Ovis aries: one gene and its partners. The protein of the gene in region 2 interacts with the protein of the main gene of each other region in a pairwise test. Links are inferred from orthologs where the notes say so. Each region holds a gene or a part of one and is shown on either strand. Other genes may lie near its edges. The genes, in order: PLOD3, RAB3IP and TRAPPC6A.

Region 1 (4,759 bases), on a different chromosome or scaffold from region 2:
CGCACTGGGCAGGGTCGCCTGCCGCCTGGGCAGGGGTCCTCCCAGGTGGGAGCAAGTGGTGTGAAGAGGGCAAAGGTCAAGGAGCACCCCCCCACTCTCCCCTAGGACTGGAAGGAGCAGTATATTCACGAGAACTACAGTCGGGCCCTGGAAGGGGAGGGGCTCGTGGAACAGGTGAGCCCCGCTCAGGACCCCGGCCCAAGGGGATGGCCGCTGCCCCTGGGGCCCACCACCTGGATGAGGGGTTCTCCCAGGGTCCTTGCCCAGGTGCCTGGGGGTTTTCTGCTCAGGCAAGACAAAGGCAAGGGCTGAGTTGATAGGCATGCAGCCCCCAGCCCAACATTCATCCCAGTGGTCCTCCCTTGTCCGTTGGGTGTGTTGGTGTATGGGTGAAATGACATTTTTTAAAACGAGGTTGAAAACCACTGTCCCAGAACCCAGGGCTCCAGCAACCGTGCTGTCTGTGCCGAGTTCTGAGCACTGCTCTCACCTTCTCTGGCCGCATCGGTCCCCTTCCTGACTCCCCCGACCAGCCCATCCCCACGCTCAGCTGCCCGTCCCTCCACGTTCTCTCCTGTCCTGGCTTACCTTTCTGCTCCCTGCTTTCTGTCTCCTCCCACTGGCTGCCTGTCCCCTTCTGGAGCATCACCCAGCCCTGTTTTCTTCTTCCCCTGCCCCGTCCTGACTCAGCCCTGCCCAGACGTGTACTGGTTTCCTCTCCTGTCTGAGCAAATGTGCGATGAGCTGGTGGAGGAAATGGAACACTACGGCCAGTGGTCAGGAGGCCGGCATGAGGTGAGGGGCCTGGACCGCGGAGGAGGGGGCCCCCAGGAGGAGGGAGGGGGCATTTCCCTGATTGAGGGAAAATGGAATCTGGAGAGTGGGAACAGAGAGGGGGTCCCCGAGCAGGAAAAGGCAGACAGGGGGCACCTCTGTATTCTTTCATTCCACCGTGCATTCAAGAAATACTCCCTGGGCAGGTCCTTAGACACCAGCCCCTGACCTGGACGTGCAGGTGGAGCTCTGCCCTCCACAGCCCCACCTGCCGTCAGTAGCAGCAGGGAGCTAGCTTCTGAAGTCTGTGATGGACAGCCTCAGTGCTGCGGGAGTCACAGGTGGGAAACTTGACCCAGATGCGGGGGGACCGAGGGCTTCACAGAAGAGGTGACATCTTCGCTGAGACTTAGAGGAAGGAGGTGTGAGTCAGCTAAGACGTGGCGGAGACTTCCAGAAGGAGGGAGCGCAGACTTCCAAGGCCTGGGAGCAAGAGGAGGAGAAGTTGGCACCACTGCGTCAGCTCTGTACCCACAGGACTCTAGGCTGGCGGGAGGCTACGAGAACGTGCCCACTGTGGACATCCACATGAAACAGGTGGGCTACGAGGACCAGTGGCTACAGCTCCTGAGGACGTATGTGGGACCCATGACCGAGAGCCTGTTCCCCGGCTACCACACCAAGGTGGGCCACTGCACGCCACCCCTGCTCCCTCCTCCGCCTTCCCACACCTGTGCTGGCTGGACGGCTCCACACAATGCCTTTTGGCCTGTGAAACATTTAAATAGGCCCCATAGAGTGAGATCCGGGCTCCCCTGGTGGCTCAGATGGTAAAGAAGCCGCTTGTGATGCAGGAGACCTGGGTGGATCCCTGGGTCGGGTGGATCCCTGGGTCGGGAAGATCCCCTGGAGGCGAGCACGGCAGCCCACTCCAGTGTTCTTGTCTGGAGAATCCCATGGACAGAGGAGCCTGGCAGGCTGCAGTCCATGGGGTCGCAAAGAGTCAAACACACAGAGTGAGACCTTGCAGGAGGGAAGCTCTGGGGGAGCAGCCCCCAGGGAGCAGTGAGAACCCTCCCGGCCATCCCCCCAGCCTCTCCTCCCCTGTGCCCGCAGACCCGGGCGGTGATGAACTTCGTGGTCCGCTACCGACCGGATGAGCAGCCCTCTCTGCGGCCGCATCACGACTCATCCACCTTCACCCTCAATGTCGCCCTCAACCACAAGGGCCTGGATTATGAGGTGAGTCCCTACCCTCCACTCAGGGTTCCCCCGGGCCCCTCCACACACACAGACACACACGCACTCCCCTCCCCCAGGCCCTGTGTCCAGCCCCCTCACAGGCACGGTCACCTCCCTGCCCCTTGTCTGCCCTCGTCACATCTCCCAGTGACCTCTGGGGTCATATTCTGGACCCCTTCTGGGCTGGCTACCCCCTGTGTCCTGTGTCCCCCATCTGCCGATGCTCACCCCTCTTGTCCCCTCCCTCCCTGATGCCCAGTTTGGCCTCTCTCGCCTCGGGGCAGCTCACCACCCAGTCCCCACGTCTGCGCACTCTCCAGCCCCTTCCCCTCTCGTCTCTCCAGGGAGGTGGATGCCGCTTCCTGCGCTACGACTGTGTGATCTCGTCCCCCAGGAAGGGCTGGGGGCTCCTGCACCCGGGCCGTCTCACCCACTACCATGAGGGGCTGCCCACCACTCGGGGCACCCGCTACATCATGGTGTCCTTTGTCGACCCCTGACACTCAGCCACTCTGCCCAGCCTTCCGTGCCATCGTGCCTTCCCGCGCCCTGCCTCCTGGGGCGGGGTGGGTGTGGACTCCTCGCCTCCTGGGTATATGGGGTCTGTGTGCCTGGGACTGAATGTGTCGCCTCGCTGCCCACCACACGGCCCTCAGGAAGCTCAGGGAGCCCCCTGTCCTGTTCCCCGGTCCCCAAGGGCTCATGGGGACAGGACCTCTGGGGGTTCGCTACATGATAAATTATTGTTTCTCAGTCTCCCTCTCAATAAAGGAGGGTTTGTAATTCTTGAGCCCATTTATTGTTTCATTACCTGTGGACCCCTTGTCCATCCCACCACCCAGGGCAGAGGGGACACCGAGGGTGACCCCAAAGGAGAACTGAAAAGGAGAAATGACAGAAACGTGATATTAGAGCAGAGTGGGAATCTAGAAGCTTCCTTGTCATTCCAGAGCTCGGGAGGGGTGTGTTGGAGGCCAGACCCAGAGAAGGACTTCCCCTGTCAGGATGAGATGAGAGGCCCCCACTCCCGCACAGCCCCCAAACTGTCGTCCCCTATTCTCTCCTCACCTGATGGCATCTTCTCCCATGCAGAAAGGATGAGAGAGGCACAGCCCTGAGCTAGGGTCCAGGGATAGTGCTGGGACACGCATTGTAGGAGGGAAGACAGGGTGGAAACTTATTGAGAGCGCTTGGACCTCAGCTTTTAGTCACATGGTATCAGGAGAGGGGAATCTGGAGGGTGAACCCAAGAAAGCTTCCTGGAAGAAGGGGAAGGGAAGCAGCCTTGAAAAAAAAAAAAAGACCTCCTAGAGCTGGTTTTGCCTCTAGTCTCAAGCATCAAAAGCTTGCAGAGACCCCTGGAGGTACCCTGAGGACAGCAGAGCAGGCCCCTTTAGCCTGGTCCTCCCCAGCCTTACACCAGCTGCCTTCCTGTGTTGATCTCCCAATGTTCCCTGGCGGACGCCTTTTAAAAATCAAGCACCTGTCCTAGGACATTTCCAGCTTCTAACAGTCCACTTGCATCCACAGCTAAATTGTCCTTCCTTCCTCCTACCCAGATTCCCAGGAAAACTTCATGCATGAAACCATCCTTCCATCCTTCCTGGACCCCTGGGTGGGTCACCTTCCCACGTGGACTGAGCGTCTCTCTGGCTAGACTCTAAAGTTCATCTCACCCAGGCCCCCACCACCCTCATCACTTGCCCTGTGATGCGAGTGGGCTGAGCAGGGATAGGAGGAAATATCCCTCTTAACAGAAGGTCCCTGGTCAGTGAAGCTGCATAGGTGTGAGGCCAAGGACAGGGGCAGAAAGGGTGTGTCAGCCTAAGCCTATCCTGTCTCCACCCTTCATTCACAGAGCGTCTCCCATGCGCTGGGCACCCATCTTGACGGCTGCAGTGATGAGCACAATTTTTCTGTTGCTCACGGTGTGTGGGAGACTTTGATCAGAAAATTGCCATGATGGGAGACTTGCCTGGTGGTCCAGTGGTTAAGACTTTGCCTTCCAATGCAGTGGGTGTGGCTTTGATCCCGGACTGGGGAGCTAGGATCCCACATGCCTTATGGTCAAAAAAGCAGAATGTAAACAATAAAAGCAACATTGTAACAAATTCAATGAGGACCGTAAAAATGGTCCACGTTAAAAATCATGGTGATGGAGAGAAAGTATTCTGTGCCAGGAGAGAATGTGATGCGTGACAGAGGCTTCTGACAGTTGCGTGTCAGACTTCCGTAAAAGAAGTGACATTTAACGTGGCTCAGGACTTCCCTGGTGGTCCAGTAGTTAAGAATCCACCTTACAATGCAGGGGATGCTGGTTCGATCCCTGGTCGGAGAACTAAGATCCCACATGCCACAGAGAAACTAAGCCCATGCAGCTCAACCCCTGGCTCCTCTGGACGGGGAACTCTTGTGCCAGAACTATAGAGTCTGTGTGCTGGAATGAAAGGTCCTGCTTAACACAGCCAAATGAATAAATTAAAAGATAAAGAAGTGACATTCAAAAAAAAAAAAAAAAAGACATGTCCTACCAGTGAGGAGGGTCAAGATGTAGGGGTGGGGAAATCAGCATCATCATAAAATACTGAGTTTAAGATGGGCTCAAGGATGTTTGTCCAAGATGGGAAATAGCGCCAACATGTTGTAGGAACTAGAAACGAGAAGTGACCTTTAGGGACTTCCTTGGCCAGTCAGTGGCTACGACTCCCTCTCCCCAGTGCAGGGGGTCAGGGTTCAATCCCTG
Region 2 (5,538 bases):
TTTCTGGAACTCTCTTCCTTTTTCCATGATCCATCAGATGTTGGCAATTTGATCTCTGGTTCCTCTGTCTTTTCTAAAACCAGCTTGAACATCAGGAAGTTCACGGTTCACGTACTGCTGAAGCCTGGCTTGGAGAACTTTAAGCATGACTTTACTAGCATGTGAAATAAGTGCAATTGTGCGGTAGTTTGAGCATTCTTTGGCATTGCCTTTCTTTGGGATTGGAATGAAAACTGACCTTTTCGGGTCCTGCTGCCACTGCTGAGTTTTCCAAATTTGCTGGGATATTTAGTGCAGCACTTTCACAGCATCATCTTTGAGGCTTTGAAATAGCTCAACTGGAATTCCATCACCTCCACTAGCTTTGTTCGTAGTGATGCTTTCTAAGGCCCACTTGACTTCACATGCCAGGATGTCTGGCTCTAGGCAAGTGATCACACTGTCATGATTATCTTGGTCATGAAGATCTTTTTTGTACAGTTCTTCTGTGTATTCTTGCCATTTCTTAATATCTTCTGCTTCTGTTCAGTCCTTACCATTTCTGTCCTTTGTCGAGCCCATCTTTGCATGAAATATTCCCTTGGTATGTCTGATTTTTTTGAAGAGATCGCTAGTGTTTCCCATTCTGTTGTTTTCCTCTATTTCTTTGCATTGATTGCTGATGAAGGCTTTCTTATCTTTTCTTGCTATTCTTTGGAACTCTGCATTCAGATGCTTATGTCTTTCCTTTTCTCCTTTGCTTTTCACTTCTCTTCTTTTCACAGCTATTTGTAAGGCCTCCTCAGAGAGCCATTTTGCTTTTTTGCATTTCTTTTTCTTGGAGATGGTCTTGATCCCTGTCTCCTGTACAATGTCACGAACCTCAGTCCATAGTTCATTAGGCGCTCTGTCTATCGGATCTAGCCCCTGAAATCTATTTCTCACTTCCACTGTATAGTCATAAGGGATTTGATTTAGGTCATACCTGAATGGTTTAGTGGTTTTCCCTACTTTCGTCAATTTAAGTCTGAATTTGTCCATAAGGAGTTCATGTTCTGAGCCACAGTCAGCCCCTTGTCTTGTTTTTGCTGACTGTATAGAGCTTCTCCATCTTTGGCTGCAAAGAATATAATCAGTCTGATTTCGCTGTTGACCGTCTGGTGATGTCCACATGTAGAGTCTTCTCTTGTGTTGTTGGAAGAGGGTGTTTGCTATGACCAGTGCATTCTCTTCGCAAAATTCTATTAGCCTTTGCCCTGCTTCATTCTATATTCCAAGGCCAAATTTGCCTGTTACTCCAGGTGTTTCTTGACTTCCTACTTTTGCATTCTACTCCCTTACAATGAAAAGGACATCTTTTGTGGGTGTTAGTTCTAAAAGGTCTTGTAGGTCTTCATAGAATGGTTCAACTTCAGCTTCTTCAATGTTACTGGTTGGGGCATAGACTTGGATTCCTGTGATATTGAATGGTTTGCCTTGGAAATGAACAGAGATCATTCGTTTTTGAGATTGTATCCAAGTACTGCATTTCAGACTCTTTTGTTGACCATGATGGCTACTCCATTTCTTCTAAGGGATTCCTGCCCACGGTAGTAGATATAATGGTCATCTGAGTTAAATTCACCCAGTCCAGTCCATTTTAGTTCGCTGATTCCTAGAATGTTGATGTTCACTCTTGCCATCTCCTGTTTGACCACTTCCAATTTGCCTTGATTCATGGACCTAACATTCCAGGTTCCTATGCAGTATTGCTCTTTACAGCATCAGACCTTGCTTCTATCACCAGTCACATCCACAGCTGGGTATTGTTGCTCTTTACAGCATCAGACCTTGCTTCTATCACCAGTCACATCCACAGCTGGGTATTGTTTTTTCTTTGGCTCCATCCCTTCATTCTTTCTGGAGTTATTTCTCCATTTGTCTACAGCAGCATATTGGGGACCTGCTGACCTGGGGAGTTCCTCTTTCAGTATTGTATCATTTTGCCTTTTTATACTGTTCATGGAGTTCTCAAGGCAAGAATACTGAAGTGGTTTGCCTTTCCCTTCTCCAGTGGACCACATTCTCAGACTTCTGCACCATGACCTGCCCGTTGGGTGGCCCCACAGGGCATGGCTTAGTTTCATTGATTTTGACAAGGCTGTGGTCCTGGTGTGATTAGATTAACTAGTTTTCTGTGAGTGTGGTTTCAGTGTGTCTGCCCTCTGATGCCCTCTTGCAACACCTACCGTCTTACTTGGGTTTCTCTTATCTTGGATGAGGGGTATCTCCTCACCGCCGCCCCTCCTGACCTTGAACATGGAGTATCTCCTCTCAGCCCTCAGATTTAAGGCTTAGAGAAATGTAATGCATTATCCTGGGCCTATTGGGAACATTATTAGGATAATCAGTGAACTTTGATTGGGGCCTGTTGTTTAGATGGTAATAGTGATTAGTGTTAATGACATCTTGATTTTGGTGATGTGTTACTTAGGATATAGACACTGAGATGTTAAGAGGTAATGCTTATCATGTGTAAAATCTATTCTCAAATGGTTCTAAAATGTTAACAGTTTCATAATGTGGGTGAAATATATATATATATATATCTGCAACTTTTTGTAAATCTGAAATTATTTCAGAATAAAAGAAGAGAAAACACTGAGTCATCCAGTCACGTGTGACTTTCTTTGAAGCGGAACAGAATAGTTCATTGAACCTCATCTCTCTTACTCCGAGTGTGTGTATCTGTCTGTCTTTACTGCTGCTTCTTTTTCTAACCAAAGACACATATGATAGCAAAGTTAATATCAAGCAAATTTTTATTCATTCCTCATTGTTACTTATTAAATTACTTACTGTAACAGTGTTATCCATCACTTTCAAGTTTATTTTGAATCAGATCATTTTCCTTTTATAGTATTTATACTCTGAGGTCACTTATTAAATTTTAAATCACTGTAGTTTTTTTCCTGTTTAATTTTATATTTTATAATGGATTGTTAAACACATTCTATAAATATACATCTTACTTTAATTTTAAATGTCAGTATCTCAAAATATTTTTCTGCTTTTTAATGTAGGTGGTTCTATGATGAGGCTTTTGCTATGGCTAATGACCCCTTGGAAGGCTTCCATGAAGTGAACCTTGCTTCACCTACTTCTCCAGACCTCCTTGCTGTGTATGAACCAGGAACTCAAGAGCAGACTACCTCACCTAGCGTCATCTACCGGCCGCATCCTTCAGCTTTGTGCTCCACCCCTATCCAGGCTAATGCCTTAGATGTTTCTGACCTTCCTACACAACCTGTGTATTCCTCCCCAAGACGTTTAAATTGTGCTGAAATATCCAGTGGCAGGTAGGAGAGAATCAAGATGCTTGTTTTAGAGCATTGTATTAAACAAATGAATTTTGCTTGGTTAACTTATTTTAAGTTTTATTATTTTAGAAAATTTGAATAATATAAGGTTGTTTATGAAGAGTAATACATGTTAATGATTAAGAGCAGGGGTCGCAGACTTTTTATGTAAAGGGCCAAATAGCAAATATTTTAGGCTTTGTGGGCTACACAGTCTCTGTTTTGACTGCTGGACATGACTACTAAGGTGTAAAAGTAGTCATAAAAGTGAAGTCGCTCAGTCGTGTCCGACTCTTTGAAACCTTGTGGACTGTAGCCTGCCAGGCTCCTCCATCCATGGGATTTTCCAGGCAAGAATACTGGAGTGGGTTGCCATTTCCTTCTCCAAAAGTAGTCATAGGCAGTATGTAAATGGATAAGCGCCAGTAAAACTTTGTATGTGAACCTTGAATTTTGGATTTTATATAATTTTCTTGAGCCACAAAATATTACTATTTTGATTATTTTCAAGCATTTGAAAATGTAAAAATCAGTTTTGGCTTGTGGGCCTTCAGGGAACAGGTGGCAGGCTGGATTGATTCTGCATTTAGTTTGCAGACCCCTGTTCTAGAGTTTCACTATCGAATAGAACTTTCTGGCATGATGAAAATATTCTCTGTGGCTATGATGGCTATGAAGGACTTGAAATGTTGTTGCTTTGGGTCTGGACATACTATTAATTAGTTCTGGTGGTGAACAAATTGGATAATGGAGTTACAGGCATGTGTGTTTATGCCAGTTAATACTTGAGCACTTGCTGATGTTTGTTTGAACTCTCCTTTACAGCGTCCATGGTACAGATCCAGCACCTTGTTCTACCTCTGGAGTCACAGCTGGGTTACTTAAACTAACTACAAGAAAGGACAACTGTAGTGCAGAGAGGGAGTTTTTACAGGGTGCTACTATAACAGAAGCTTGTGATGGCAGTGATGATATTTTTGGGTTGAGTACTGATAGTCTGTCCCGCTTACGAAGCCCATCTGTTTTGGAAGTTAGAGAAAAGGGCTATGAAAGATTAAAAGAAGAACTTGCAAAAGCTCAGAGGGTAAGCAAAAATATATTTTATTCTTCTATATGTTACATTGAAAATGAATATTTGTCCATGGGGGCAACTCAAGTGAAATTATAGTTCTACACTTTTCCTTTGCATATGCGCAGTCTCAGTTGCTGTTGGGCAGCATTTAGGAATCTGGGAACTGGTCTCAATAGTAAAGAAGCTCATCCAAGAATACGAATGGAAGAAAAGAGACTCTAATTCTTTTTCCCCCCTTTCCTTCTCTTGCATTTTCTGTAGTGCAGATTTGGGGAGCTACATTCTGTGTGTGGATTTTTTTCCTCTCTACACGTGGTTGATTTTGTGATTATTTACTTGAAGCCATTAGATCCAAGTCATTATATTTTGAGGAATAGTTTTAGTAATAATTCAGCTAAATTTGAATGTTTTCTGTATCTTAACTTGGAGATTTGTCTTTTTTCATAATTTGTTCTATTTCTCACTTGCTCATCTTTTACATTTCTGATATTCCCAAATTTGTGACTAAATTTCTTTCTTTTTCTGAGTCTGTAATTAAACTTTAAAGGGACATTTGTAGCGCTAAGTATTTATACATTAGAGAAAAGGAAAAGTTTCAAATCAACAATCTAGTCTCCCACTTTAAGAAACTAGAAAAAGATGAGCAAAATAAAACCAGAAGCAAGCAGAAGGAAGAAAATAATAAAAAGCAGAAACAATGAAATTGGTAACATAAAAAGTAGAGAAAATGAACAAAACAAAGGCTGGTTCTTTAAAAAGATCAATAAAATTGACAAGCCTCTAACAAGACCAAAAAAAAAAACAAGAATAGAAGACACAATAGCAAGAATGAAATAGGGGATATCACTACAGACCCTGCAGATGTTAAAAGTAGTAAAGAAATAATACAAGCAGCTCTACGTATATGGATTTCACACTAAGGTGAAATGGACCAATTCACATTTAGAAAGTTGAGAAGATAGGGAAATCATTCTATAACATAATTTCCACATATTATGACATTTTACAAATATATATTCCCATTTTCTCCCCCAACAGACTTGTTTCTCAGGAGTATAACACTGATTTTGGTATCCCTGGTGCCTAGCATAATAAGGTACAATGCCTGGTGTGTATATGTCTCTATAAATGCTTCAATGGATGGCTGAT
Region 3 (5,538 bases), on a different chromosome or scaffold from region 2:
TCTGGGCTGGGCTCCAGAGGCTCAGGACAGGATGGGAGAGGCCCCTCGCCCATCACTAGCAGTGATGACCCCCTAGTGTCGAGGAGCTTTTGCAGGGCCTGGGGTGTGCCCGCCCTGCCGCCCTCCCCTCCCCCAAACCCCACCCCCTGTCACACTTCCTCCCCCGCCCCTCCCCACCGCCTCTCCGCCCTGCTGGCCTTATGCCCCCTCTCCCTCCCACCCCCAGTCTCTGCACTGCAGCCTCTTTCGAGGGCTGGGACCGTGGGGCCAACAGCAACAGCTGCTGTGCTGCGAGCTGCCGGTCAGCCACCCCTGGGAGATTGCGCCCCCCCCTTAACCCTGTCACCAGCTTGCCATCCCCACTAGGCACGGTGTGCGAGCTCTGGACGGGAGCTAGGAAGTGACCGCAGGATGAATGGGGGTGTCCTGGGAACACAGGTGCGCTGGGTCAAAGCGGAGCCCCGTCCGGCCCCCTCCAGGAGTTCCCCTGAGCAGGGAGGTGATGTAAGAGCAGCAGAGGCCTGGCGAGGGCTGGGCAGGGAACCAGGTGCTGAGACTCGCCCGCCCACAGAACAGAGCCCCTCCTTTGTGGGCTTTCCCTTTCCTTTCACCATCCCCAGCTCATCAGCAGGCTGACAGGTGCAGAGGCTGCAAATGGCGACAGTACCACTTCCCCAGCCCGACTCGGGGTGCTTGGCTCGCACTTATCCACTCCTTTAATCCTCACGAGGGCCCTGGGAAGGTCCTTGTTTTACACGGGACGACACTGAGGCACAGGGCAGCTGGCCACTGCCCCAGGCCCACAGCTGGTAAGGATCCGGACCCTGTACCCAGCCACCAGGCATGTGTTCCCCTCACTGCCCCTCACACCCGAGCTCAGACCTCGAACACCTTAGTCATCGAGTCAGCCTGCCCCCCCCGAGGCCAGCCCTGCCGTGCCGGAGGACAGCAGAGAGCACACGCCGGTGTCACGGGCAGGAAGCTGTGTCCTTCCCCAGACCCGGTTCCCACAGGAGGAAGGCAGAATGGTGGGCCAGGGTCTGGGTGTCACGTGGCCCAGCAGAGGAGGGGGCCATCACGCGAGGCACCTCTGCTCCGGCTCCCCACCCACTCCTGGCACCTCCCCTCAGCCGACGTCAGCCCTTGCCACTTCCCTGGGGCACGGACAGCTGCGAGTGTTGCCCTGGTCGCCTGCCCGTCAGCCACCTACATGCAGGAGCCGGACCTGCTCAGGTCCGAAGGTGCCTCTGGGAGGTCTGACCTAACCCCTCTGTGCCCCGGTCTCCAGATGTGAAACACAACCTACCTTATGGGGCTGTTAAACAAGGGGTCTGCACAAGGCAGCTGGCACAGCGTAGGCCCAGGTCCCGATTCCTCACTCGGCTCATTCAGCATGTTCCTCACACGCCCCCCGGTGTGTGCCTGGCCCCCCTGACTCCGTCTTGGCATTTCTGCTGCTCAGCGCTCTCCGGGTCACACAGATGGGCCACATACACAGGTCGGCTCTCCTCCAGCCACGCTCCAGGACACCTGGACAGACACCAAGTGCGGCCTCCTGCCGCTCAGTCCCCACGCCTCAGCACCCCCACCGCGGGACCCTGGCCTGGCCCGGCCCCCCGGAAGGCCACTTGGCCACCCCTGCCTCCCCTGAGCCCCTGCGGGTCCCTCCCAGGAGTCTCGGCTCATATTTAAGGCCTCATAATCACAGTTGACGTTTCATCCGCCTGCTGGCCCATCCGGGGGCCCACCCCTGTGGCCCCTCCACTGCAGCCCCCTTGCTCGCCATATGAGCCCCAGGGCAAGTCACCTTGAGTTTCTGGGGTGACGGGAGTGCTACCCCACAGGGCGTTTAAGGACGGACGCTGAAAGTACACTCAGGAAGTGATGGGAGTTGCAAGGAAAGACAACAGGTGAGGCTGAGCCTAGGCAGGACCCCCGTGTTTCCCGGAGTGAGGGCGAGCGGAGCCTGAGGGCCGGTGCGGTCTGTGGATCCAGCCTGCCACTCAGGAAGCCCTCTATCCTGGGTCTTGTCTCCCTGCACCAGCAGGGACACACAAGCCCCCCTCAGCTGCTATACCGGCTGGCTCCCGGCTGGAGGTGGCCGAGGGCCCCTGAGCCTCCCTTCCTTGGCCTTCTAGGGACAGAAGACCAGCTTGTTGGTCCTGGAGGGCATGGGCTTCCGTGTGGGCCAGGCCCTGGGCGAGAGGTGAGAGGCGGGCAGGACCTGCAGTGGGCTCCCTTCCTGGGCAAATGGGTGGGGAGGGTGCCTCGATCCAGACAGGATCCCAAGCCAGTCTCCTCCCTGTTCCTCACCCCGGGGCTCCCCCAGCCTGGCCCCCACAGTGTCTGCTGCTGCTCCCCCCCCAGGCTGCCCCGGGAAACGCTAGCCTTCAGGGAAGAGCTGGACATCCTCAAGTTCCTGTGCAAAGACCTGTGGGTGGCCGTGTTCCACAAGCAGATGGATAGCCTCCGCACCAACCACCAGGTGTGTGCCCCCCGGGCAGACAGCGGGCAGAGGCCGGAGCCCCGGGAACCCAGGGAGGGGACCCAGGCTCAGGGCAGTCACAGCAGGCTCAGCTCCCCTCGGGGCCTCCCCACAAGGCCCCCCAGGACAGGCCCCTCGCGGCTTGCGGCTGTGCCTCGGCCTGACGCGGCTTGTCTGCACCCGAGCCTCGTTCCCATTAGGCACCCACGCTGGGCCTGGCTGGTGGCCTGATGGCCTGGGCTGTATCTTCTCCCCACCGGGCACCCTGGAAATCGTGCAGCAGGGGCGTGGAGGGGAGGACACCAGGCCCTGGTCGGAGGGTCCACGGGTCCTCATATAGCCTCGAAGGACGGCCCAAGACCGACCACAGCCATTTTGTGGGAAGGGTCCTTCCGGACCTCAGGGTGGCGGTGCTGGGCCCTTGCCTCCCCTCCCTGCCCCCACCAGGAAGGTACAGGTGCCACATCGGCTCCCTGGGACCCTCCTCTGTCCCCAGGGGACCTACGTCCTGCAGGACAACAGCTTTCCCCTCCTCGTCCGGATGGCCTCGGGTCTACAGTACCTGGAGGAAGCACCCAAGGTACCGGGCGTGATTCCAGCCTGGGGCAGAGGCCTCTTCCCAAGCCCAGGACCCTGGGAGAGGGAGGCGGACCCATTCCACCCCGCTGTGAACGCTCAAGCCCACGTGGCCCCGGGGTGTTGGCCTCCCCCTGCTCTGCCCACGGTGACCTGTGTGCCCCGCCCCTAGTTCCTGGCCTTCACCTGCGGCCTCCTGCGTGGCACCCTCAGCACCCTGGGAGTCAAGAGCCTGGTCACCGCCTCCGTGGCAGCCCTGCCCGCCTGTGAGTTGGGGTGGGGGGGATCCCCCCTGCTCCCAGGGGCCGTGGAGGTGGGGCCGGGCCGCCCAGCCCCACTGCAGATGGGAATCTATGGCCCAGAGAGCTGAAGTCCCAGGCCCAGGCCACACAGGAGGTGCAGCCCATCCACGGCCCTGCCCCCGATGTCCTCCTAGACTGCTTCCCTGGGCGTGCCAGCCTGGCGGGGACAGCCGACGACAAGGACCTGGGCTAGTGTTTTCCAACACTCTTCCCAGTGCAAGAACCCAGGTGGACACAATAGGAGTCACCTGGGGATGGTGGGGTGGGCGGTGCTGGGCTGAGGAGCTCCAAAGGCAGCCAGTGTGAGGGGGTGTCCTCCTGACCCCGGGGCCCTGCTGGCCCACAGTGCCCGCCAAAGGACAAGCCGAGGCCCCACCCTTCCCTGGGGGCTGCCTGCGACCAGCCCTCCACGCACCCTTCCCTCGGGCGTCTTCCCCTCTGCCAGTCCCCAGGGCCACACATCATAGGGGACTGGGGCCCAAGCCGGCAGGATCTGAGCCACATGTGCCACTGAAACTGGGCCAGGTCCCTCCCCGACAACCTACGTGCCTGACCTGCTGCCTGCCCTTCGTGCCCCCAGCCACCCACACAGCCCTGGGGCACAGGCCAGGGGTGGGGCTAGGGCACCATCATCTCAGGCCAGCGAGGCAATGAGGTCCAACCAGGGCCACCCAGGCTGAGGGCACTGGGCCCGGGTGAACGGCTCAGAGCAGCTGGGGTGCCACCTCTCCCCTCCGGCCCCAGCCTCGAGCTCAGGCCAGCCCTTCTCTTCCAGGTAAATTCCAGGTGGTGATCCAGAAACCTTGAGGAGCCCCAGGTCCCACTCCCAGACGAGCTTCACAGCACCCTGGCCCAGAGAACCCCGCTGCTGCCTGTGCTGGGGGCTGGTGCTGGGGAGACGGGGTCCCCGCACTGCAGGGTGTCACAGATGCCCAAGAGATGGGTGTCAGAGGGAGGTGGGGGTGTCCCGGGGGCCAGGTGGTCCCCAAGGCATTCAGGGCCGGTGTGGAGGGGGTCTGCACCACACATGTCCCTCCACAGGGCAGGCGCTCAATAAAGGTTCTGTAAGTGGAACCAGACTCAGAGTGGAAAGCGGGGCGGTGGCGGGGGGGAGGTGCTGGGGGCAGGGGCAAAGCGACTGTGTGTCACGGGCCCAGTGTGGAGGTACCCCGTGGGGCTTCCTCCCCGCCGAGTCCCTTCCTCCCCGCCGAGTCCCTGTGGCTGGCCGCCTCCCGCCCCACATACCTGGCAGGGGAGGATGGCCCCCAGCACAGGCAGCCTTGCCAGCATGGACAAGTCTGGGGCTGCTCTCTGCTCAGCGGGGTCCAAAGAACGGACCTCTCCCTGGGAGCAAGGCCATTGGCCCCTGGAGTTGCTGCCAGGTGTGGGCTGGCCTGGGGGGGCCGCCAGGAACAAGGATAGGTGAGTGGGTGGGCCAGACACCCTCCACTCCCCTAACACACACACACACTCTATCGAATACACGCTTAACGTGCCTGGCGGATACGAGTCATACCCAGAACAATGGCGCCGCTGACTAGTCTCTGGGCAGTTCAGCCTCCGTGCCCACACCCCACCCCCTGCCACCACCTCCCGTGTTTACATTCATAGCATCTGGGGGCATCACCCATTTGGACTCTGCCGGGCTCTGCCACTCGCTGCCTGAGGTGGGTAAGTACCTCGGCCTCAGAGCTGTAACCTGAGGCTGGGATTGACCCGCATGGGAGGAGGAGGGGTCCCCTTGCCTAAGACCCCCCCAGGGGCTGGGGCTCCTCTGCCTGCATAGCGTCTGGTGCAGACATCGTATGCAGCCCCCTCCCCAGCACACACAGCCGAGCCCCGCAGTCCCCGGGTTGCCTCTGAGCCTTAGCACAGGCCTTTCCTGCCTGGCCCCCTCCCCAGACTCCTACTCCGGCAGCCTGCAGCCTCCGCTCCCCACCAAATCCCCTGCAGCAGCTGCTCACTTGCGCTTCCCCGTGGGTCCCTGGCTGGGGGCTGGCACTGTCCAGGATGAGTCCTAGATGAATCTCGGTCACTCAGCTAAACTCTGCAGGCAGGCGGGCAGGGGTGAGGGAGCGGGGGAAAGACCCAGGGCCAGCCCTGCCCTCAGGAAGCCCAGTGGCAGTCCAGAAGGAGCCCCCAGAGACCCTCCCACCCCTGACTCCGACACGCCAG

Evidence for each region.
Region 1: the proteins of RAB3IP (region 2) and PLOD3 interact in binary tests that used the Homo sapiens proteins (3 or more experiments, as listed by UniProt). The link is inferred for Ovis aries from reciprocal best matches to the Homo sapiens genes RAB3IP and PLOD3.
Region 3: the proteins of RAB3IP (region 2) and TRAPPC6A interact in binary tests that used the Homo sapiens proteins (3 or more experiments, as listed by UniProt). The two-hybrid records come from large-scale screens. The link is inferred for Ovis aries from reciprocal best matches to the Homo sapiens genes RAB3IP and TRAPPC6A.

What each region holds. Positions count from the first base shown.
Region 1 is NC_056077.1:35,921,799-35,926,557, forward strand, and holds the end of PLOD3 (multifunctional procollagen lysine hydroxylase and glycosyltransferase LH3), read left to right. Parts: intron 1-105; coding exon 106-174; intron 175-690; coding exon 691-795; intron 796-1,311; coding exon 1,312-1,458; intron 1,459-1,890; coding exon 1,891-2,016; intron 2,017-2,360; coding exon 2,361-2,516; 3' UTR 2,517-2,806; downstream 2,807-4,759. UniProt on the Homo sapiens protein: Multifunctional enzyme that catalyzes a series of essential post-translational modifications on Lys residues in procollagen. Plays a redundant role in catalyzing the formation of hydroxylysine residues in -Xaa-Lys-Gly- sequences in collagens.
Region 2 is NC_056056.1:149,971,754-149,977,291, reverse strand, and holds part of RAB3IP (rab-3A-interacting protein), read left to right. Parts: intron 1-3,041; 5' UTR 3,042-3,066; coding exon 3,067-3,317; intron 3,318-4,142; coding exon 4,143-4,401; intron 4,402-5,538. UniProt on the Homo sapiens protein: Guanine nucleotide exchange factor (GEF) which may activate RAB8A and RAB8B. Promotes the exchange of GDP to GTP, converting inactive GDP-bound Rab proteins into their active GTP-bound form.
Region 3 is NC_056067.1:52,606,760-52,612,297, reverse strand, and holds the end of TRAPPC6A (trafficking protein particle complex subunit 6A), read left to right. Parts: intron 1-2,138; coding exon 2,139-2,206; intron 2,207-2,367; coding exon 2,368-2,485; intron 2,486-2,981; coding exon 2,982-3,065; intron 3,066-3,233; coding exon 3,234-3,327; intron 3,328-4,138; coding exon 4,139-4,170; 3' UTR 4,171-4,437; downstream 4,438-5,538. UniProt on the Homo sapiens protein: May play a role in vesicular transport during the biogenesis of melanosomes.